Lonchura striata: one gene and its partners. The protein of the gene in region 2 purifies or fractionates together with the protein of the main gene of each other region. This does not show direct contact. Links are inferred from orthologs where the notes say so. Each region holds a gene or a part of one and is shown on either strand. Other genes may lie near its edges. The genes, in order: CD36, FYN and SKAP1.

Region 1 (7,818 bases), on a different chromosome or scaffold from region 2:
CTATCTGTTTTGACTGACTGCTGTTCTGTAATTTTATGTTGCTCTACTTGGAAGCTTAGCTTTTGTGGGAAAATCTGCCTTTTTCAAATCTATTTCTGCTAAGTAAATCTAAGGTGGATGAAAATTAATAAATGTGAGGTTTTCACCTCCTAGTAGTGAAGGCAAGGCTGAAAGTGAGACTGGTCATTTGAAAACAACTTTTTGTGCAGTTTTCAATAAAAGGCTTGCTGCCAGGGCAAGCTCAGGACCCTGAATAACTCCAGTTTCTCATCCTTGAAAAGTGCAGAAATCTTGTTTTCCTCTATTTTCTGATTAAAAAGGGAAGTTTAACTACTGAAAGTTAAGCATTGCTCCACACTGTGCTCACCATGAACTACTTTTATTGTCAGTAATTGTTTCTATTGTACATGTCGTCCTTGGATGGTTTCCTGAGGATGTTCTTTTTTGGGATCACTACTGCCCTGTGGAGAGGTTCCCTACCATGCTCATTTTCTCTGTTTGCAGTGTGTGGAAGTCAGTGATATTTTCCTTCATGAGGAAAATATCTACTGGGATTTTTTGTTGGAATATGCTACTGTTGACGTAATGATGTTCAGTTTTCAACATATGCATGCTCAGCTGTACCACCCAATGTTATGATTTACAATATCCTACTGTCATCCTGCATAAGCAAAATCTCTTCCAGCAGCAGTGCTTGGCAGTGAAATGAGGAATGAAATGAGGACTGCCTGGTTCTACTGCAGAAACCAGCTAAAAGGATGGAAATCTGGAAGGGAAGATGTAAACTTTTGGATGTCAGTCATTCCTGTTTCTTAAAAACAAACTGAAATAAACCATAAGTATTTAATGGTCCTATGTCCTTTGACTTCATATTAGAGTTCAGAGGTTGCAGAGGAGAAAGTAGAGACACACAGCAACAGAAGGAGGACACAGAAACCAAACAGCTGTGTAGTTCATGATAGTCCCTAGTGGTGCAACCACAAACAAACTGCTCCACAAGGAAAAGTCAAAAAGAAGAAACAGAGTACATGACACTCACATGCCTCATGAAGACACAGAAAACTGCAGAATGCAAAAATGGGAAGTGATATTTTTATTTCCAAATGAAGTCCACATACATTTTCTGGAGGAAACATACTACTTACAAGAAAATGCTGAAGAGATGAGGGTTATTTATAGTTTTTGTATATATCTCATAGTAGGCCCTTTGGAAAACAGTTTCTTTGGGGTGCTATCCTACATGCCTTCAGACTCCTAAATAGGTTGTCTCCCCCTTTCTCTTTCTTTTTCTTTTCCATTTTTTTTTTTTTAATATTAAGATCTATTCTATCAGACATACATTTATGGTATACATACAATTTGAATTTTCAAGATGATTACATAAACATTCCCACATTCCTGTAGGAATTCTTTGTTGCACAGTGTAGCACATCATGAGTTTATATTCCTGTGTTTCCCAGTTATTACACTTAGAATTTTTCTTCCACTGCCTATTATGAATCTTATAAAAACTAGTGTTAACATTAATTCTTTTTCAGATGTGGAAATGTTAGCATATGTTAGGTGACATTAGAAAGCAAATTAGAAAGCTCCAAGAAAATCCTGTCTCTACTTTTGCACCCTCTGAACTTTTTAAAGACATTAACTGTTAAAAAACATCCAACAAAACCTACTCTGTTATTGTTAGGTAAAATGCCAATCCCTGGGGCAAAAGATTAGGCTAATATTTTCAGTATCTAAAACACGATTTTCTATAAGCTTTTGGGTACTCTCCCTGGTTTTGAGACAAATTATATTAACCTGCTTTCCATGGTAAATTAATGCACAAATGTATTGCTTATCCAGGTTATACTATTAGCATCATTTTATGATGCTAATAGTGGTTTCTATTATTTCTACTGAAAATCCTGTTGTCACCACTCAGTAACCCTCTGGCTTCTTCACAGGAAGTGGGAAAGTCCCACAGGAAGGGTTGTATCTTGCTCAGTAGTGAAAGATTAAATAATTAAACCTGCCCCCCTCAAAAGGAGACAAACTTTTCACGTGCACAAAAAAAAAAAGAAATAACCTATGGCTTCTGTCCCCAAATAAGTTATTTCTGATTCACACAGTCGTGTTCACCCATGTGCCCTTAGTTCTACTGAGAAGGAGAATGATGCAAATGAAACATTGGGAGGAGAAAAAAGAAAAGTGTGCAATATGCCACGAGCTGGGTGAGACTTTTGTCTTATTGTGTGTACTGGAGATACTAAGAGGTATTTCTTTATAGGGATACTTTAATCGATATTTTGTATCCATTAAAGTTAATTTGATTTCCTAAAGAAATTAAAACCTTCTGTATATCACATCATCACATAGTACATGAGAAAATTCAACAATTCACTGCACTTCTACTTCAAAAGAGCCATTCTAGAGTGGACGTGTATCTTCAGGTATTGCAAGTAAAGAACATGAATAAAAAACACACAAAATAATAAAATAATAATACAGAACTAATATCATTCCTGAATTCCACATTCACTATTTCTGTCTCATCTGTTCTCACAGTGACTGTTCTTTTGTGTGACCTGATTTTCCAAAAGCCATAGGATAGAACAGAGTTTTATAAGTCAGGTCACTTTACATAAATAAAGGAAGAACAAAGATATCTTAGTTGTTTCAGTATTCCTTTTACTATCTTATCTATACAGCTCTAAAATAAAAGAAGGGCATAGTTTCATGTTGTTTTCTTTTCTTGTTTAAGTTAGTTCCAAATACTTGTTACCGATAAACTTACCCAGCTAAAAGTAGGCATCTGGAGAAAAATTTATTTTCTTTCCTCTCACTAGAGATGAATGTACTTGAAATATTTTCTTAGACAAGACTATATAGAATCATACAATCATACAATCATTAGGCCTGGAAAATACTGCCAACCTTTGACCATGTACCACCATGTTCACTAAACCATAAGTGCTACAGCTATTTATTTTTGAACAGTTCCAGGGAGTGCATATCTTTTAGAGGTACTGCAGTTAAAGGCTCCCCTTTAACTGCAAAGCATCTAAACAATGGACTTAAGTTAGGCATCTAATGATTCGAATGTTAAAGTTAGAGCAATTCCACTCAAAGTCCCCAGACAGGTCTTTCATTTCCTCTCCTCATCAGTGCACCATACTGATGGTACCAGAATAGCTCTACAAGGTTCTGCTAAATGCATACAAGTTATGAAACAAAGAAAATTCAAGAAGAAAACTCCAAAATATTTACCAGTTGGCATTAATGGAAAGTTTGGACAAAGACTGCAGACATGTTATTACGGTTTTTTGCTCAGCTCACATCACAGATTTTACCACTGCTGTGTTGGCCTTCAAGGATTGCCAATGCATGCCCTGAGTCATACTCCAACCACTCATATCAGCCATTCTTCAACCTCCTGAAAAAAGTATCCTCCACAACATGCATTAATATCTTATTTTCTTCACAAGAGCTTGGAAGACTCTTATCAAACTGTTGTGTAGCTCCTTCATTACCCACCAGAGACTCCCAGACGTATCTTTCCCAGCTCTGTTAAGTGTTAGGATCTAAGGTCCTGTCCCTTGTGGTTCCCAATGTGTCCTGACGATATGGAAAAACATCCTAAAATACCAGTGGCTCAAGCCAGCTTGGCAGCAGTACACTGGAAACAGTGTGATATATTTGGCTCCTGCCACTGATGAGTTCCTCTGTCAAACTGTAATGAAACTCTTTAAGGGGAAAATGGGTGATAGAAAACCCAGAAATTGCTTAAGTTGTTTTTTCCCCTAGATATATTGCTTCTGGGCTCTTCACTGTTTTTGGCATGCATAAGCTACTGCCTTTCTCAGTCCTCAAAATCACTTTTAAAATTTGTTTTCAAGTGATTCTAGCAGGGGGATTAGGTGAAGAAATCCCAAGAGCAGCAGGGATAGACCAGACTGATTCTTCCAGTCCTGTGGGTTTATGTCAGACTAACTCAGCAGATAGATAGGAGGGAACTTATTAAAACAGAATCAAATACAGAAACTGTAATATTATAATAAAAGTTTCTTGTGAGTATCAAACCGTGAATGTCTATGAAAATCTCTTACTGAAAGGGTTGTGTTGGTCTATTAATGTTTTTGAAACATAAGTGTTGCCCCAAAAATTATAATTCATCACCCAGTGTGCAGTGAGCCAATCACACACAGAGCCAAGGGATTTCAAATTTCATATTTGCACAAAGATGGGTATTGTGTGGTGAATTCACAAAGTTATCAGCCCAAGTAAAAAGGATAAGGATTCTTTATATGCTGTTAATTTTTATATGTTCTGCTTATCTAATATATTCAGTGTTTAGTATTTGACTATTTCTCAGTTGTGCTGAGATGACTTCTTATCTTGGATGGCCTGGTGCTCATCAGTGTTACAATCCTATTATTGTTAGGCTGGCTTTCTTAATTTCTTCTTATCTTTGGTGTCCTGCAATAGCAGATTCTTCTTCGCAATCTTTGTTACTTCCCTGTGTCTATGACATTTGCAACAAGTCAGGCCCTGAAATGTAATATGGTAATGCTACTGAGAAAAAAATTTGTCTTAGACAACACAAGGAGGGCACAGAGAGGAGGCTCCAATGGCAAGAGACAAAAATTTTAAAGCAAACATCTTCTGAAAGCCAGGAGAAATTTAACAAATCTTGTCCCTAGTTGGATATATTCCACTTCTTGCAAAACTCTTCTCCTTAGATCAGAAGTCATTTAATAATGGAGTAATTCTAAAATCTTTCACTAGTGCAATACCTGGTTGAGAAATAGTCACCATAATGAATCATCCCAGACAATGTCACTGGTTTTGAATGGGTAGTCCTTATGTTAATTTTTGCCTACCAGCTACACTGTAATTTTGTCTCTGTAATAATTAGGAACAACATATGTACAGGGGATTTTTCCAGTTGTAAAGACCTAAGTTTAAGGTCAACTTCTTGGTGATTTCTCAAGTACTGAAGACCTGTCAAATGACTGACACCCTTACCTTTCAGTTTACATGTTCCAGACCTGGAGCATGTCCTTGGTCTGAACAACTTACAGAAGCTCTTCCCTGGGCCTTCAGTCCAGCCTCAAACACCAAAGCCAAGCCATCAGCTTACTGCTAGGAAAAGCCCTGCTCCTCATCAGGCACAAGAAGAAAGTTTGACTGAAGCTACCCTGGGGCAGCTGCCAATTCCACTTAGGGAATCAGAAGTGATGGCTGGAATAGAGAAAAATTTATTGTGATACAAAAAAGGACTTTTTTTCCTTTTCTCCATATTTTTCTTGAGAAGATATTTAATTACCACAATAAAAGATTCAAACATAATTCACACACAGACACAAAACAAAAACCCCAACACTGAAAAATAAAATTACCCTTGCCACAGGAGATCCCTTGGCAGCAGCTGAAAATCTACAGAGATTATGAAAAATTGTGTAATATCACAGTTTACTGAGAAATATTAACACTATGAAGAACAGAGCAGTAGAAAAAGTACTAGAAGTGATTTCTGTGCACTAGCAGTAAATTAATGAAGGAATTAATAGATATCCTGAACTTCTCAGATCATGTAATTTTTAGTCTTAAATATGGCATTATTCTTTCAGATGAAGACATGTTACAGAAATATGCATATAACTATCAGTTACAGAAAAAAAATGTAGTTGCAAAATACAGCAATTTAACCCAAACCCCTTACATTTCTGATCATTTTCCTGGTTGTGCCAATTATATACATGTTTTTGAAGTCTCACTTGAGCACAGAAAAAAACCCAACCTAAGCAACTACAGACTGCACGTTTTTTTATGAGTAGGATATTTTTGCCAAATTAAAAAATTCACTGAGTAATTATAGCCATTTTGTCAGTTGTCAAGAAAATAAATAATTAAAATAGCATATGATTATGCTATATTTATTGGGTTGATCTCAGGACTTCCATATATAAATGAAATTATATTACATCAGCATATTTATTATACATTATATATTATTTTATATTTGTACATATGCACATAAATTAAAGTCTTAAAACTACACTGAAATGCATATATATGCTTTTTCCTCTAATTAATAATGATACAATTTCCATAATGAATAATTATTACAGTATTTTTCATTTATTGCTTTATATCACAGTTATTAAATGTATACAGCCACAAACTTGATATCTCATCTCATATTTTTATAATGTATGCATTTAGTTGTTTATATAATATACTTTCATATACAAGATAATGATTAACAGGCAAATTATTAATACATTTTTTGCTGTTAGTTTCATTACATTTATTTCTAATTGCAATGTACAGTGAAATATTAGCAATATATGCAACATTATCAAGATAGCAAGTTAAATAATTTGATTACCAGTATACTTATTCTTTATAAATTTTAGTGAATGGACTTTTGTTGGATTTATAGACAGTCAAGAAATAGAGTCAATAACATCTCTCTTTGCTTTCAATAACTAGCAGTTAGGAGCACTTTGTAAGTTATAGGATGCAACAATACACTTACAAGAAGTTTTTACAACTTCCAGCTGTGTGCTCAGTCTGCCTCTAGCTCAGGAGCAGAATCACGTACCTGTATGGAGGGAGAGCTGCTCTCACAACTCTTGCCACAAGGAACTGCAGAGGTGCAGAAGAGCCTGCAAATTTACCTCCTAATTTACAGTAAATTAGAGCTGCTGTATCAGCCCCAAGCAGCCCTGCTGCCCCGTGCCCCACCACCCCGCTGAACTTGTATCAGCCACAACAGAAAGTTGCACAGGCCTTTTAAACTCCCTTGTAGGTAAGCTGTCTCAAGTTATAAGGACTTGTGAAACCTCTGAGCCCGAGATAATACCTTCTCAACACTTTTGCTTTACAAGACCAATACTAAGAAATCCTTTCAAGACCAGCCTTTGCCTCTGGTCCCTTCAGACTCTGCAATAGCCCAGAACTTGGAGGCAATGGACTGGGTCCTGTTGCCAACCCAGAGCAAGTTCCATTGACTCTTTGCAGTAACTCTTTGCAAACACAGACTAATCCCATTTAATCCCCACAAAGTCCTGGAAGCCAGATAATACATGTCGTATTGAGGTAATTCTTCAGATTTGGGCTTACTATGTTTATTTACACCAAGCAGAGAGACAGGTCAGGATGAGGGATCCCAGCTGTGAGTACAGCTGTTAAAATTCATGGGGCTCTATAATATTTCCACAGGCTTTCCTTCAGAATTTGGTTGTCTAAATAAACATCTAGGACAAGTGGCAGGGCTATTGCCTCCTCTGCCTGTCTTTTTGGATCTTTGCTAAATCCTTTTATCATAGCAGGGCTGATACTTTTCTAAAATTATTAAATTATTATTAATTAAGCATGGTATTATTATTTTTTTATTTGAACAGCCTATTGACGACCTCCTTCCAGAAAGTTACAGCAAAAAGCAAGTTATCAGCCTGTCTGCCAAGTGCTTTCATATTTAAGATAACAGCTGCCCCAGAGGATTATCAGGGACCTGGAGGTGAGTCATTACGACAGGTGCTATAAAACTCCATATGTAGTAACTCAAGGGGCACAGCATGACATAAACCTCTTAGCCGATGAAATTTCTGCTTCTCTAAAGTTAGACAAAAAAATAAGTGACGAGGAAAATTTAAGAATTAAAAAAAATATTCCTGAAATTTGCATTCAACTGGATATTTTCTGACCTGTCCTCATATGCTGTAAATGTTGTTCTACCTTTGGTCTTCTTGGAGTCCTGTTGATTGCTTCCTGTGTGCCTTTCACAGCTGCAGCCTCCAGCTTGTTGCCAGACTTCTGCCTTCCTTTCTA
Region 2 (8,202 bases):
TGGCTTTAATATTTTTCTGCTATTTCTGGATTTCCTAAGGTTGTCCCACATCTGTTTTTTCCCTTGTGTCAATGTGTAGCCACAGAGTGCAAACACATCTGGAAATTATAAACATGGAAATTTAACTTTTAGAAAATGCATGATGATGCCATTTAAATATGCTGTTCTTACAGTTTAACACCTGATTTGTTGGTTTCGGAAAACACCTGTGTAGCGTCTGAGGAAACATCTCTTCCAATTTTTGTTTCTGGGATAGTCTAAAACAGTTAGAAAAGCAGGCTTGTATGGATGTAAATATTTGAGATTAGAGCCTCTACAGCAATAAGGAAGGCCTCTTCTGTTTATTCCTTAAAGACATAAGGTAAAGACGTTTCTTCTATACACTTGCTCCCACAAATTATCTACCCAATACACAAATGCCAAAACGCTCTTTTCCTAGCTCTGCCAATATCCTTCCTTCAGCTTCTGTGTATTAGTGTGACTATTGCTGATGAGCATGATGAAGAGCTCAGTTCAAACCTTCCCTTCTGCTTCCAGGTTGCTGTTCACACCTCAAAGATGTTGTCCCCAGGGAGGCAGACCTATCACCTCAGCATTCCCTGGCAGTAATCACCTGTGAGTCAGCAAGACCCATTTAGCACTCCCCAGTTGAAGCACCTCCTGAAAATACAGTGGGATGTTTGAGGCAAATGCTGTCAGCCTCCTAAAATACTGTAGGCAAGTTCAGATCCCTTTCCCCCCACCCCACTACTCTGTAATTATTTATAATATGCTATACATGACAGGCTGGTAAAATACACCCAGTCAAAACCAAAACAAATGGAAGTGTTGCCAAGTTAGCAATGTAAAAAGGGAGGAAGTGTAAGACAGAAGATAAAACGGTGAGGCAGATTAGTGACCTATCAGTCTGTGACTGGTGTATTGGTTTGAATGAAGAATTTAAGCATGATGTTTCTTTATCCCTATGAAAGGTAATCTCAATATTAAAATTTTTTATTAATTAAAAAAAAAAAAAAAGAAAAAATAAAGACACTATAACATTTAATACTTTGGGGATCTTTTAAATTACAAGTTCATTAGGATCTGACTTTTACAAATTATGGCTCAGAAGAATCCCAAATAATTCTGATGGTTATTCCTGAGAGTCAGCCTAGTTTTACCAAGAGTGGTTTGACACAACCAAGGAAACTGAACTGATGTTCTGCCCTGTTCTACAAAAGAGCTGCTTTTACATCTCCTTGCTATTACAGCTGTGAATATGTTTGGCTGCTCAAAATATTACCTTTAATTGAAAACTGTGGATATTATTTATTCAAATACAGTCATGATGGCTGTCACTGACTTCTTGCCCACCGACAAGTCCAAAAGACACTTGTGTGTAATTTTGTGACTGCTATCCTGTATTTCCAGATGCTAAATTATTAATACAAATAAATCCTAACCAGAATCTGTAATTTTCATATTGCTGTGAGAAGCCATGTATCTCTACAGGGAGATAGGAGCAGGAAATAGGAAGGAGAGGACAAAATCTTGACGTCACATTGTTCAGTACAGACGGCTGCACATTTAAGGTTTTGACAGTATTTCCATGAAAATGACTGATGGAGAAGCAGCATTTCAATGGATATTATTTCAATATTTTAATGAATAACTGTTTTAAAGTGAGTTTGGAGAAAGGAGAAAATAGTTTGGCATGAGGAGGAAGGCTACACAGATGAAGGTGGGAGAACACAGTGTCATGAACTTAAAGTATTTAGAAAAGTTGAGAGAAAAGAGTATAAAGAACTGTTCCTGTGTCACATAGGTAAATTTAATTATTCCTTCTGTTTAAGTGGGAGGTTAACTGCCAGGTTTTCTGGGTGATTCCTGAAGGCAAATATTGATACAGTCAAACCATGGTGCTGAGCACTAAAGAACAAGACTTGTGTGAGGCTGTGGGGACATGTGGGCTTGACTCACACAGAGGGAACACTCCAGCACGTCTCACCCCTGCCACCGGGGCTGCAGGAGCCTGCAGCAGCTTTGTGATCCCAAGGGAAGTATAGGTACCCTACAGGGCAAACCCAAGGCTTCATCCTATGCTTCCTATGCAACTACCAGCACTTGATTCCTGGCTCCACACCTTATTCCTCTTCAGCTATATAAGCTCAGAATCAGACTTTTGATGACATGCTGCTGAGCCAGTTTTTCTGCCCAGGTTTACAGCAGCCCTGTGGCTGCTGTGTGATGTTCTTTTGGTCTGCTTTCATTGATTAGTTGGTTACTTTCTACTTTGGCTCAAAAAAGAGTATCAAGTAGGTTTTTCTCTATCTTTTTTTCCTTCTTTGTGTCATTCTAGTTTTCATTCAGAGCAAGAGCATTCAAAATTCAGACAAAGATTCTTTATTCATGCCTTTTTGATTATAAAACGAAGTGCATTTCTGTCCTGTAGCTTTTGCAGAAAGAATACCTGGTTGTTTGATTAATTTCCAAGGTGCTTAAGGTCCCTAAGAAACCTCTATTGACTTGTGGGAGGTAAGATTATGTGTAAACCTATAAAAAAGGCAAACAAGGCATGCAAAAATGCCCCTTTCCCTAGAACCACATGCTGACTTTCTGCTGAGGAGCCTGGAGTATTAAGACACCATTTGCAGTCCTGATGGTCTCCAAGCTGGAAGTCCATAAATCTGCCCTGCCTCCAAACTGCTCTGATGAAGCTCTGCTCTGCATGGACTGGTACCTGCTGCCTGCTGCTGGCCCAATGGCTGCAGCCTGAACTCCTCAAAGTCTGCAGCATCATGATCCCAATGGGTGTTTCTGGGACAGGCATAATCAGACTTCTCCACCAAGCTGCAGTTTTCATCCAACAGGAAGAAAATGGAAAGTTGTTTTTTCAGTTGAGCTATACATTTCTACTCTTGTGTTGATTATACCATTTACATGGTAAAAGAAATAATTAAAATCTGCATAGAAGGATTAGGATGGAAACTAAAAATGACCTACCTAGAAACCTGAAAAAGTTGTTTCTTTGTACATCTACAATGAGATCTACACTTCTCATTAAAATGAGAAGTGACACAAGTGACATTTTATTTCATAATTCCCCGTCTCCTCCAAATTCTTTATGTGAACTTGTGGAACAAACTCTGCTTCATCCTGAAATGTAATGATCAAGAGTCACCTACACATAACCTACACAATCACCCAGAAAGAGAAAGGAAAATCTTTCTTGCTCTGAGCACCCAGCTGTAGACATCTTGATAAGAAACAAGTTTCTATTTGAACTTGTAAAACTGTAATTTCATCAGGAAATCAAATTGCCAAGATAAGATAGTTCTCTGGTTAAATACCAGCATACAAAAATGAAATTCAGAGAGAAGTGGGAGAGAAATGTAAACCTCATTTATTGAAAACTTGTGTTATAGTTCTCTCTGCTATTTCAACATACTTAATTTTCTCTCCCTCTGCTCTTGTATTTTGTATGTCTCTCCTTTTCTTGTTGAAGTCTAAACTGCAATTTCTTCAGTCCTAAGGCAGAAGAGCTTTCCAAGCCTAGGAGACAAGTGACAGTGAGATGTGCCAATCTGTCAGTATGGGAGCACTCAAGGTCACAGACGGGGCGGGGCGGTGCTGGGGAGAGGACCTGAAGCTGGAGCATGTGGTGCTTTCAATGGGCGTTGGAGGTGGATGCAACACCTTGAGAAACGCTGGGAGCAATTACGGCTGAGAACCTGAAGGGAAACAAAGTGTACAGAGAACTTTTCCAATCACCTGCCTGCGGAGCAGGGTGTCCCGTGACTGGAGGACAGGGCTGCCCGCACATCTTTGACTACAGTGCAAGACCGAAGCCCCAGCCGCGCTGTGGGGACAGCAGGTACACCCCTGAAAGAACAGCTTCGTGGGGTGACGCTCCTCCCACAACAGCTCGCTGAATACTCCGCGATTAAATGTGGAAAATGGAATAAAACCATAACTCTGGAAAACCTCCGCGTATATTTCATTATCGCCGTTGCCGTATCACCCACTATTGCCAATTTCAAGAATTACGGATGAAAAAAACCGTAATAGTAAAACAAGCCGTCGTTTTACACAAAGACGCATAATCTGTTTGGGATTGTTCTCCCATTCATCGGGGATGTTGAGACGCTCGGCTCACTCTTCCCTCCTCCTCCCGAGGCGCCCCAGCGGCGCGCGGAGCATCGCGAACCGCTCCGGCGCTGGCAGCTGCCGGTCGCGAACCTCTACACAGAGCGACAACCCCTCATCTCCTTCCTGCTCCCTCCTCTTCGCCCCCGGTCCCCTTCCTTTCCCAGCCCGCGTCCGCCTCCGTCACGGCCGCGCCGGGCGCCCGGAGCGGCGGCCGCTGCCCGGGGGCGTCCATGGGCGCTGCCCGCCCGCGGCCGCGCGCCCCGCCTCCCCCGCCGCCCGCCAATCAGAGCGGCGGCTGCTGCGGACCGCGCCTCGCCATTGGCCGCCGACGCTGTCAGTCAGGGGCCGCCCCCGCGGAGGGGCGAGGCGGGCGGGGGGGCAGCCGGCTCCGGGCGGGCGAGCGGGGCCGGGCGGCGGCGGCGCTGCGGTTGCGCCATCTGTCAGGAGCCCCGGTGGGAGGGAGCGCCCGAGCCGCGCTCGCCCGGGCGGAGCGGAGGCGGCGGCAGCAGCAGCAGCAGCAGCAGCAGCAGCATCAGCGCGGACAGCCCGTGCGAGCTCATCCCTGCCCAGGCTGCGGCTGTGCCGCCGCACGGAGTCGCCGCCTCCGCGCCCGGCCGCGGCTCGGCGCAGCGCGACTGCCCCGGGGAGAGGCAGCGGCGCCCGGAGCGGCGCCCCTCGCTGCGGGCGGGCGGGGGCAGCCGGCGGAGGAGCGGAGCGAGGAGGATGCGAGTGCGGCGGCGCCGCCCCGGCCCCGCGCTGCGCTGAGCCTAGCCGAGCCCAGCCGCCTCAGGTAACGGAGGGGCCGGAGCCCGCCCGGGGGAGCGGGAGCGGGGGCGGGGGGATGCCTGCCCGCATGGATGGATGGATGCTGCGGCGGGTCTGTTTCCTTTGTGCGCCCGAGCGCTGACGGGGTGCGGGGGCTCCCGGCGAGGGGAGGCGGCCGCGCTGCTGCGGGTCTCCCCCGCGCACGCACACGCGGACCCCGCGCCCGCCTCCCCCGCCGGGAGCCGCGGCCGCAGCGCGGGCAGGGCCGGGGGCGGCGCCCGCGACCGCCCGAGCGCGGCCCCTGCGTGCCCGCGGGTCGCCCGTGTCGGGGTCCCCGCCCCCGCGGACACCGGCCGGGGAGAGGGGAGGGGGCGCAGCACAGGGACGTATTTGTTGTCGCCGAACTGCGAAAAAGGGGCGGGGGGGAAATAAATAAAAAGACCTTCTCTCCCTCTGAAATAAATCGTATAGGATTTGCGCGTCTATGACAAAGGCCTCTTTCAGGGAAGAAAGAAGGGACGCACAAAATGCCCAAGGGTGGTAGGATGTGAAAAGAGGCTTGTTTCTTGTGTCTCCCCTAGAGCCTCTCTGTTCCTTCCCAGACGAGGCCGCTGATCTGGTGCCAGTTCCTTTTCAGCTACATTTGAGATTAGGGAGAGATACCAAACGCCACACCATGGGTGCCAGCGTTTTGCTGCGTCTGCAGAGCCACAGTGTACGTGTCGCCCGACCTCCTTAATATTGTTCAGTTTGGCCTCTGTTCCTCGGGATCGCGCCTGATTTCTGCTCTGTGTGGATTCTGCGTGTGCGTGAGCTCTGGGAGAGGGCTGGCCAAGGAAGGGGGTCACTTTGTGGGAGCGAGCCCATGATACCTTGGTCCGTTCAGCAGTGACGGGGAGGGCAGGGCTGAGTAGGTGCTGGTGGAGAAGGTTTGGGCTGAGTGGAAAGCAACCCTCTGCAGTTGCTCATCCATCACTCTGATATGCTCTGATTCTTAAAATGCTAAATAACCAGTGACCAGGGCGGACCGGGCTTTTGAAATGCATGCAAGACTGGGAACGCCTTTGAGACCTTGTCATTTTCCTCCTTGTATACAACCTCCTTAACTCCCACATCCTTCCTTCCACCATCCTTGCAGCTGTAACACTTTTTAGGATCCCACCCCACCTTTTTTTTTTTTTTTTTCTTTTTTTTTTTTTTTTCTTTTTCTTTTTGTCTTGATGTCTTTTTAACTAGCGTTCTGGAAGCTAAGAACAGTTTCAGGTGAGGATCTGTTTGTTTATATGCTGGTGGAGGAAGTGTTTTCATTAGGTTTGACTGGTCTGGTCTCCCATGAGGAGGAACAGTAAGCTAAAGGGACACTGTCAACTTGAAATGCAGAGAATGTGCGTGATGAATGGAGAGCTGTGTCCAATATTACACCCACCGTTGAGCTCCCTGCTGGAGATCTGTGGTTTTTGTAAGCCTGTCTTCTGATTGTGTGGGTTGGTCATGCAGTGAAGGAGTAAAAACACACTTCAAACAAAGTTCTGTTAAGTGAACAAAGGAGTGCAGAAGAAAAATACCAGAGTGGGAAGGGAGGGAAGGCAACATCTCCAACTTCTCAGTTACATCCATTTTAGCCACTGCTTGACCCAGTGGGAAACTGGAGGGGCTACAGTTCATTTTTGCAGTTGCACATTTATTTAGTATCACTAAAGTGGAAAGGTTGTTACCTTTGCCCCAGTGATTCAGGAGTTTTCAGCACCTTGATGTGTGTGCTCAGAAAGCTGGTAGCACTTGATGGATGTCAGTAGGTCAGTGTCATTTCACAATATAAGAACATTTTAAGAATGGTATCTCTTGTGAAAAAGATACTGGTTACCTTCTTGAGCCCTTTTAACCCCAAAAAGCTATAATTTTGATGAAAAAGAGAAAGAAAGATAGCCTAATTAATGCTTTAGAAACTTGTATTTTGTTGATTCTAGACTGCAGATTTGTTGAAATGTTCAGATACTTAAAGGGTTGCCTGTAAGCATCCTTCCTCTCCACCTCCAACAAATTACTGCCTCCTCTGCATGGCTTGTCTTTGGCAAAATAAATAACTTTCAGTATGAAGTTGTCTGATGGTAGGCCACTGGCTGTGGTGTTTTGTGGTCTATGCGTCAGGCATGTTGTTTCAGAAATTCTATGTTGCCTGCTGGTGAAAGACATAGTGGCATAAAGTACCAGTTAAGTATAAAACCCTGAACAGCTTTCTCTGGAAATTATTTTGGTATTGAGTAAGTACGTGTCTTCAGTGAGGGACAAATGACTTTGGCATATGGGCATGGCAGTCAGTGTAAGCCAGAAATGAGTAAGGTGGTATAAAAAAGTTGATTATTAATCATTTTAACAAGTGTCTTTAAAAGTTAGGACCCAGTGATAAATTTCTAATTCATATGAGTAAGAAAAAATTGCTGGGGAACTAGTTATTTTTGACAGACTGATATAGATTCCACAATACTGTTATGTGAAATAGTTAAATGGTGTCATCTGAAATCATAAGTGGAGTCTGATATGGTGAGGGTGTCTGTGACCACTGGCCCTGTGGCTCAGCTGAATATACTAATCTGGACATGGTATCATTGGCACTGATTTACAGTTGAATAAAATTGTGGCTAAGGTGAGCGAAAACTGTCCAGCACATTTGTGATGATTTCACACTGTAATATGGTACATCTACAATATCATATGATTAATTGTCTTAAGCAAAGTATAGAGCTATTTGCCATCTTATGCCCAATTACTTTTATTTAACAGCACCTTCACTTTTCTGTCTTGCTGCATGACTGTGCTTTTACTTCAGGGAGAAAAAGTGTTGGAGCCATGTGTTTTCCCTTCGTCCTTCTCTCTGGGGTGCACATTAATATTTGATTCAAACTTGTTCTGTAAAGTTCTGCTTAATTCAGTTTGGGCACTACTTTGAATGTATAATAATGGTGTTTGCTTGTGTCATGGACAGTGCTTTGTAATTTGCTTTATGGGCAAGTCTGCTGCTGGCAGTGTGTATTGTCAAAGTGACCTTCCTTTCAGAGGGAGAAAACCAGTAACTCCTGGCCCTCTCCCACCCCTGCAGCTCCCACAGAAGTGTCTTCACAAGTTGCTTTGACCCATTACTCCAAAAACAGGACTTGAACTGACAAATCTAGTTCACTCGAGCAGTCTCATTGAAATCCAGCAATTAAGGATTCCTTTGGTGACAAAAGGCCTACGGATCTGTATTGTGCAAGTCAGCCATTTACTTGAGGCGAAACCCACAAAAGGGTTTGCGTGCCTCAGTGAGGAGCA
Region 3 (8,387 bases), on a different chromosome or scaffold from region 2:
TCCACCTAAAAAAGAGGGGAAAATCCCCATCCTAAACCAGAGAAAATCCAACCAAACCCAACGACAACTCCCCAGGATTCTCCGTTATCCCGAGCCTGGAATATCCATCAAATTCCAAACATGGGGGAGCTGCAGCAGAAGGAGGAATCCCAGACCCTGCTGGAATTCCAGGATCTGGAGCGGGAATTCCGGGGGATCCCACCTGGCTCGGAGGCGCTGGAAGGAGCCCAGGACGGCGTCGCGCTGCTCCCGCGCCCGCGCGCTCAGCGCCTCCTCCCGCAGAGCCCGGCCCAGGAAAGCCTCAGCCTCTGGAAAAGCGGGAATGGGAATGGCAACAGCGGGATAGGCGGCCTTGGAGGGGGAAATGGGGGTGGGAAGGGGAAGGAAATCCGGGAATGGGAATGGGAACAGCGGGATAGGCGGCCTTGGACGGGGAAATGGGATTGGGAAGGGGAAGGAAATCCGGGAATGGGAAAAATGGGATAGGCGGCCTTGGAGAGGGGAAATGGGATTGGGAAGGGGAAGGAAATCCGGGAATGGGAATGGGAACAGCGGGATAGGCGGCCTTGGAGGGGGAAATGGGGGTGGGAAGGGGAAGGAAATGTGGGAATGGGGATGGGAACAGCGGGATAGGCGGCCTTGGAGAGGGGAAATGGGGGTGGGAAGGGGAAGGAAATCCGGGAATGGGAATGGGAACAGCGGGATACGCGGCCTTGGAGAGGGGAAATGGGGGTGGGAAGGGGAAGGAAATCCGGGAATGGGAATGGGAACAGTGGGATACGCGGCCTTGGAGGGGGAAATGGGGGTGGGAAGGGGAAGGAAATCCGGGAATGGGAATGGGAAAAGTGGGATAGGCGGCCTTGGAGGGGGAAATGGGATTGGGAAGGGGAAGGAAATCCGGGAATGGGAAAAATGGGATAGGCGGCCTTGGAGGGGGAAATGGGGGTGGGAAGGGGAAGGAAATGTGGGAATGGGAAAAATGGGATAGGCGGCCTTGGAGGGGGAAATGGGGGTGGGAAGGGGAAGGAAATCCGGGAATGGGAATGGGGAAATTGGGGATACGCGGCCTTGGAGAGGGAAAATGGATGTGGAAGGGGAAGGAAATGTGGGAACGGCTGGGAAAATCGTGGAGAGGGAAAGTGGGTTTGGGAAGGGGAACAAAACTGGGAAAGGGATTTAGAAAATTTGGGAAGGGCAGGAAATCCAGGAATGGCAGGAAAATCAGGGATACATGGCCTTGGAGACAGAAAGTGGGTTTGGGAAAGGATTTAGGAAAACTGGGAATGCGATTTAGGAAACCGGGAAGGGGTTTAGGAAACTTGGGAACAGTCAGGAAACCTGGATCTGGGAAAGGGTTTAGGAAATCTGGGAAGGGAGAAGAAAGCTGGGAAAGGGTTTAGGAAATCTGGACCTGGGAAAGAAAGCTGGGCCTGGGAAGGGGCAGGAAATCTGGGAATGGGAAAGGGTTCAGGAAATCTGGGAATGTCTGAGGTCAGGGAGGCCCCACAATCCCAAAATTCTCCTCAAGGTCACCCCCAAATTCTCCTGGGGGTCAGGGCCAGGGAGGCCCCACAGCCCCCAAATTTTTGGGGTCACAGAGGCCCTACAACCCCCAAATTTTTGGGATCAGGGAGGCCCCACAACCCCCAAATTTTGGGGTCACAGAGGCCCTACAACCCCCAAATTTTTGGTGTCACAGAGCCCCCACAACCCCCAAATTTTTGGGTCAGGGAGGCCCCACAATCCCCAAATTTTTGGGGTCACAGAGGCCCCACAACCCCCAAATTTTTGGGGTCACAGAGGCCCCACAGCCCCCAAATTTTTGGGTCAGGGAGGCCCCACAACCCCCAAGCTTTTGGGGTCACAGAGGCCCCACAGCCCCCAAATTTTTGGGGTCACAGAGGCCCCACAGCCCCCAAATTTTTGGGTCAGGGAGGCCCCACAACCCCCAAATTTTTGGGATCAGGGAGGCCCCACAATCCCCAAATTTTTGGGGTCACAGAGGCCCTACAACCCCCAAATTTTTGGGTCAGGGAGGCCCCACAGCCCCCAAATTTTTGGGTCAGGGAGGCCCCACAACCCCCAAATTTTTGGGATCAGGGAGGCCCCACAATCCCCAAATTTTTGGGGTCACAGAGGCCCTACAACCCCCAAATTTTTGGGTCAGGGAGGCCCCACAACCCCCAAATTTTGGGGTCACAGAGGCCCTACAACCCCCAAATTTTTGGGGTTACAGAGCCCCCACAACCCCCAAATTTTTGGGATCAGGGAGGCCCCACAATCCCCAAATTTTTGGGTCAGGGAGGCCCCACAACCCCCAAGCTTTTGGGGTCACAGAGGCCCTACAACCCCCAAATTTTGGGGTCACAGAGGCCCCACAACCCCCAAATTTTGGGGTCACAGAGGCCCTACAATCCCCAAATTTTTGGGTCAGGGAGGCCCCACAACCCCCAAATTTTTGGGTCAGGGAGGCCCCACAACCCCCAAATTTTTGGGATCAGGGAGGCCCCACAACCCCCAAATTTTTGGGTCAGGGAGGCCCCACAACCCCCAAATTTTTGGGGTCACAGAGGCCCTACAACCCCCAAATTTTGGGGTCACAGAGGCCCTACAATCCCCAAATTTTTGGGTCAGGGAGGCCCCACAACCTCCAAATTTTGGGGTCAGGGAGGCCCCACAACCCCCAAATTTTTGGGTCAGGGAGGCCCTACAACCCCCAAATTTTGGGGTCACAGAGGCCCTACAACCCCCAAATTTTTGGGTCAGGGAGGCCCCACAACCCCCAAATTTTTGGGGTCACAGAGGCCCTACAACCCCCAAATTTTTGGGTCAGGGAGGCCCCACAACCCCCAAATTTTTGGGTCAGGGAGGCTCCACAACCCCCAAATTTTTGGGGTCACAGAGGCCCTACAACCCCTAAATTTTTGGGTCAGGGAGGCCCCACAACCCCCAAATTTTTGGGGTCACAGAGGCCCTACAACCCCCAAATTTTGGGATCAGGGAGGCCCCACAATCCCCAAACTTTTGGGTCAGGGAGGCCCCACAACCCCCAAATTTTGGGGTCACAGAGGCCCCACAACCCCCATATTTTGGGGTCACAGAGGCCCTACAACCCCCAAATTTTTGGGGTCACAGAGGCCCCACAATCCCCAAATTTTTGGGATCAGGGAGGCCCTACAACCCCCAAATTTTTGGGTCAGGGAGGCCCCACAACCCCCAAATTTTTGGGATCAGGGAGGCCCCACAACCCCCAAATTTTTGGGATCAGGGAGGCCCCACAGCCCCCAAATTTTGGGGTCAGGGCCGGGGAGGTCCCAGGACCCCTGAAGAGCCCAAAGGTGCCCAGAAAAGCCACCCCAACCCCGGCCAGCCCCAGCGCGCTGCCCACGGGGCGAGGAGGGATCCGTCACCTTCCAGGAGCCGCCGGATCTCCTCTGGGATCGGGGCGTCCATGGCATCCATGGGATCCTCCACGGGATCCACGGGATCCTCGGGATCCTCGGGATCGCGTCCCACCGGGGCCGCGCCGGCTCTGGGGTGACGGGGAGGAAGCCGCGAGGGCGGGGACACCCCAAAAACGAGGAGGAACCTTTGGGGTTTGGCTTCCTCCTCCTCGCCTTCAACCCCAGCGGATCCCCGGGATCCTTCCCAGCTGTCCTGGGCCATCCCAAAAATTCCGGTGGGGAAAGCTGAACTCCAGCCAAGGAGCTCCGCCTGGAATTCCCGGCTGGAATTTCCTCCCGGAGCTTCCTCGCGCTGTTCCTGCCCGAAAAATTGGGATTTTTCCAGGTTTGCCACCCCAAAAATTCCAGAGAGGAAAAGCTGAATTGGAATTCCCGGCTGGAATTTCCTCCCAGAGCTCATCTGGAGTTTCCCTGGGGCTGTTCCTGCCCCCAAAACTGGGATTTTTTCCAGGTTTGCCACCCCAAAAATTCCAATGGTGGAAAAAAGGGGATGATCTGGGATGAGATTTCCCCTTTTCCCATTTTCTGCGTGGAAAAGAGGTTGGGTTGGGAAAAAAAATCACCTGGGATAGGGAAAAGATGGAAAAACTCCTGGAAATGTGGGAGATTTCTGAAAGGAAATACTCCTGAAAACATTGAGATTTCCTCCATAAGGAAATGTGGGAAATATCCCTGGAAATTTGGAGATTTCTATGTGGAAATATGGAAAATATCCACGGAAATATGGAGATGCTCCTCCATAGGGAAATGTGGGAAATATCCCTGGAAATTCAGAAATTTCCATGTGGAAATACGGGAAAGATACTTCTAAATTTGGAAATTTCCACATGGAAATACTCCTGGAAATCCAGAGCTGCTCCTCCAGGTGCTCCCGGGTGTTTTGGGCCCTGCTTTTCCAAGAAATAAAGGAAAAAATTCAATTTCTTTTTCATTTCTCAGCACAAAGCAGACAAGGAGCAGGTGCCGGGGGGATCCCGAGTTTTTGGGGTCGGGATTTGGGGTCGTGGAGCCGAAGGAGAAACCCCAAAGCAGCTCCAGAGTCCTTTTGGGGATATTTTGGGGCCATTTTGGGTTGGGATTTGCACCTCAGCAATCCCGTTTTTCAAGGAGGGTGATTTTACGGAGAAGGGCCCACAAAAGGCAAATTTCCATGAAAATTCCCTGCTGGATTTTTTTGGATTTTGGGATTTTGGGGTTTTTTTTTCCTTTGGGGACAGAGGGAGCACCGGGGGATTCTCCAGATCTGGGACCCAAAACCTCGGAGCTGTCGCTGCCACGTCATTCCCAAACTTTCCCACCCGGCATTTCCCAACGGATTTTTTTAACCCTTTCTGTGCCGGGTGGGAAAATCAGGGTTTGCCCCTCCCCCCTGCAGCCCGGCCCAGCTTTAGCACCGAAACGGCCCCAAAAATGGAGATTTGGCAGCGGATGCTGAGGCCTCGAACACAGGAAACGCAGCCCGGGGGCCCCGAGCAGAGGTGGAAAATCCGAATATCACAGGAGCCGCTCCGCTGGCCTTTGGGGGGCCTCGAGCCTTTTTTGGGGCAAAATTTGGGTTTTTCCTTGTCAAAAGCTGCTCCTCAAATGTCCTGGCTGGGTATGGTTGGGATTTAGGAAATTCTGAGCCTTTTTTGGGGCAAAATTTGGGTTTTTCCTTGTCAAAAGCTGCTCCTCAAATGTCCTGGCTGGGTATGGTTGGGATTTAGGAAATTCTGAGCCTTTTTTGGGGCAAAATTTGGGTTTTTCCTTGTCAAAAGCTGCTCCTCAAATGTCCTGGCTGGGTATGGTTGGGATTTAGGAAATTCTGAGCCTTTTTTGGGGCAAAATTTGGGTTTTTCCTTGTCAAAAGCTGCTCCTCAAATGTCCTGGCTGGGTATGGTTGGGATTTAGGAAATTCTGAGCCTTTTTTGGGGCAAAATTTGGGTTTTTCCTTGTCAAAAGCTGCTCCTCAAATGTCCTGTCCAGGTGGGGCTCAAATTTAGGGAATTCTGAGCCTTTTCTCTGGAAAAATTTTGGATTTTTTCCCTGTCAAAAGCTGCTCCTCAAATCTCCCTGACAGGTATGGTTGGGATTTAGGGATTTAGGAGCCTTTTTTGGGAGATAATTTTGGATTTTTTCCCTGTCAAAAGCTGCTCCTCAAATCTCCCTGACAGGTATGGTTGGGATTTAAGGATTTCCAAACCTTTTTTGGGAGATAATTTTGGATTTTTTTCCCTGTCAAAAGCTGCTCCTCAAATCTCCTGGCCAGGTAGGGTCTCCTGAGGTGGGATTTAGGGAATTAAAGGCAGGAAATAAAAATAACAGAAAATAAAAATATCTCAGGTAGGGTCTCAGGGAAAGGATTTTCCCAATTTCCAAGGAAATGACCTTTTTTTTTTTTTTTCCTTCCCTCTTTTTCCTCACCACTTCAATTTTTGGATTTTGGAACGGTCACAGATTTGGCTTTGGGGTCAGCTGGGAAGGAGAGGGGGGAGCCTGGCACCGTCCTGTGCCCGCAGCATCCCAAATTTGGGGATTCCGGATTCAAAACCTCCTCCCCACGGGAGAAAATTCCCACCTGGATCCTCGCAGGGCCCGGCTGAGCCCGGCTGGCATCCTTGGGAAATGCGATTTCCCGAAAAACGGAGGCGGGATTGGGAGTAACCATGGAAACGGAGCTGGGAAAACGGAGAGGCAGAGCCCCGGTCCTGTCAGGAATGTCGGGAATATCGGGAATATTTGGGGGGAAACGGGAGAGGCAGAGCCCTGGTCCTGTTGGGAATGTCAGGAATATCGGGAATATTTGGGAAAATTGGGGGGAAAACGGGAGAGGCAGAGCCCTGGTCCTGTTGGGAATGTCAGGAATATCGGGAATATTTGGGAAAATTGGGGGGAAAATGGGAGAGGAAGAGCCCTGTTCCCACTGGGAATATTGGGAATATCGGGGGGAAAACAAGAGAAGCAGAGCCCTTTTCCTATCAGGAATATTGGGGAAAATTGGGGGGGAAATGGGAGAGGCAGAGCCCTGTTCCCACTGGGAATATTGGAGGGAAAATGGGAGAAGCAGAGCCCTGTTTCCACTGGGAATATTGGGAATATCAGGAGGAAAATGGGAGAGGCAGAGCCTTGGTCCCACTGGGAATATTGGGAATATTGGGGGGGAAATGAGAGAAGGACAGCCCTGCTCAGAATTTGGGATTGAATCCAGTGGGGAATTCCTAAAGGACAGCCCTGCTCAGGGTTTGGGATGGAATCAAACCCTGATGCCTTTTAGGATTGTTTTTCCCAACAATTGCTCCCTGCAATGGGCTGGGCTGGAATTTCCAGGGAATCTGTCCCAGAATTGTCCCAGGAATTGCCTCGGGCCAGGCTGGAATTGTCCCTGGATGGGGCTGGGTGGAATTCCAGCTCCTTCCCACCCAAACCATTCCATGGCGCTGGAATTCCGCAGCTCCTGGCCCCGGGATTGGGAAAGGCCAGGCCAGCATTCCATGGAAATTCCAGGCTGGAAAAGGGCTGGGAAAGGCCAGGCCAACGTTCTATGGAAATTCCAGACTGGAAAAGGGCTGGGAAAGGCCAGGCCAGTGTTCCATGGAAAAGTTAGAAAAGCTAGAAAAGCTGGGAAAGCTAGAAAAGCTGGGAAATATGGAAAAGCTGGGAAATATGAAAAATATGGAAAAGCTGGGACAGCTGGGAAAGCTGGGAAATATGGGGAATACAGGGAATATGGAAAATATGGATAATAAAGCTGGGAAAACTGAGAAATATGGGGAATATGGAAAATATGGATAATAAAGCTGGAAAAGCTGGGAAATACAAGGAATACGGGGAATATGGAAAATATGGATAATAAAGCTGGAAAAGCTGGGAAATACAAGGAATACGGGGAATATGGAAAATATGAATAATAAAGCTGGGAAAGCTGGGAAATACGGGGAATATGGAAAATGTGGATAATAAAGCTGGAAAAGCTGGAAAAGCTGAGGAATACAGGGAATATTGATAATAAAGCTGGGAAAGCTGGGAAAACTGGGGAATATGGAAAACATGGATAATAAAGCTGGGAAAGTGGGGAAGGCAGGGAAAGCTGAGAAATATGGGGAATATAGAAATTGTGGATAATAAAGCTGGGAAAGCTGGGAAATACAGGGAATATGGAAAATATGGATAATAAAGCTGGGAATTCCCCAGGGAATCTCTCCTCCCCTTCCCTGTGGGAGCAGGGAGAGCAGGCCCAGGCTGAGGGAATTCGGGGCAGATTTGGGGTTCTGACTCCAAATTCCCAAATTTTGGCCTCATCCCGCCGGAAAAATCCCAATCCTGAGCCCAGGAGGGCGTTCCCAAATCTCCAAAAAAAAATAAACCTGGCTCAAAGAAAACCCCGATTTTGTGGGAGGTGAAATCTTTATTCCCACGGAATTTCTGCTCCGTGCCTCCTGACAGGAAAAAATTCCTGCCGGGAGGAGCTTCCCATGGGAATTTTTGGGGTTTGGGTGATCGCTGGGGTCGGAGTTTCCGGCGGGGAATATTCCGTGATGCCGGGAGGGTTTTGTTAAAAGCAAAGCCTGGTTCCACTTTCCGGGCCCGACTCCTCAAAACGCATGGAAAGGGCGTCAAAAATCGGAATTTTGGAGGGATAAGAGCGGGAAGCAGAAATCTGGGATTTGGGATGTTCAGGATTCCCTCAGAACCAGGCCTGGCCGGTGGAAAAGTGGGGAGAATTCCCTCTGAATTCCATAAAAATCCGAAATTCCTGGATTTTGAGCTGCATTCCCGGCCAGGGAAGATGAAAAGCCGTCCCTGGAGCCCAGCAGAATTCCATCGGAGCCGCAGCAGCTGCTCGGAATTAAAAAAGTAATTTAAAAATATTAAATAAATTTTTAAAAATATAAAAGGAATAAGAAATTCCTCATGAATAAATAGAAGGAAAATGAGGAGGGGGGA

Evidence for each region.
Region 1: the proteins of FYN (region 2) and CD36 purify together in Homo sapiens (affinity purification with western blotting; 3 studies listed by BioGRID). This does not show direct contact. The link is inferred for Lonchura striata from reciprocal best matches to the Homo sapiens genes FYN and CD36.
Region 3: the proteins of FYN (region 2) and SKAP1 purify together in Homo sapiens (affinity purification with western blotting; 3 studies listed by BioGRID and IntAct, with this or other methods). This does not show direct contact. The link is inferred for Lonchura striata from reciprocal best matches to the Homo sapiens genes FYN and SKAP1.

The regions. Positions count from the first base shown.
Region 1 is NC_134607.1:62,609,015-62,616,832, reverse strand, and holds the start of CD36 (platelet glycoprotein 4), read right to left. Parts: upstream 3,603-7,818; 5' UTR 3,517-3,602; intron 1-3,516.
Region 2 is NC_134605.1:68,271,548-68,279,749, forward strand, and holds the start of FYN (tyrosine-protein kinase Fyn), read left to right. Parts: upstream 1-4,559; 5' UTR 4,560-4,918; intron 4,919-8,202. UniProt on the Homo sapiens protein: Non-receptor tyrosine-protein kinase that plays a role in many biological processes including regulation of cell growth and survival, cell adhesion, integrin-mediated signaling, cytoskeletal remodeling, cell motility, immune response and axon guidance.
Region 3 is NC_134627.1:8,231,783-8,240,169, reverse strand, and holds the start of SKAP1 (src kinase-associated phosphoprotein 1), read right to left. Parts: upstream 3,454-8,387; coding exon 3,411-3,453; intron 309-3,410; coding exon 203-308; intron 1-202. UniProt on the Homo sapiens protein: Positively regulates T-cell receptor signaling by enhancing the MAP kinase pathway. Required for optimal conjugation between T-cells and antigen-presenting cells by promoting the clustering of integrin ITGAL on the surface of T-cells.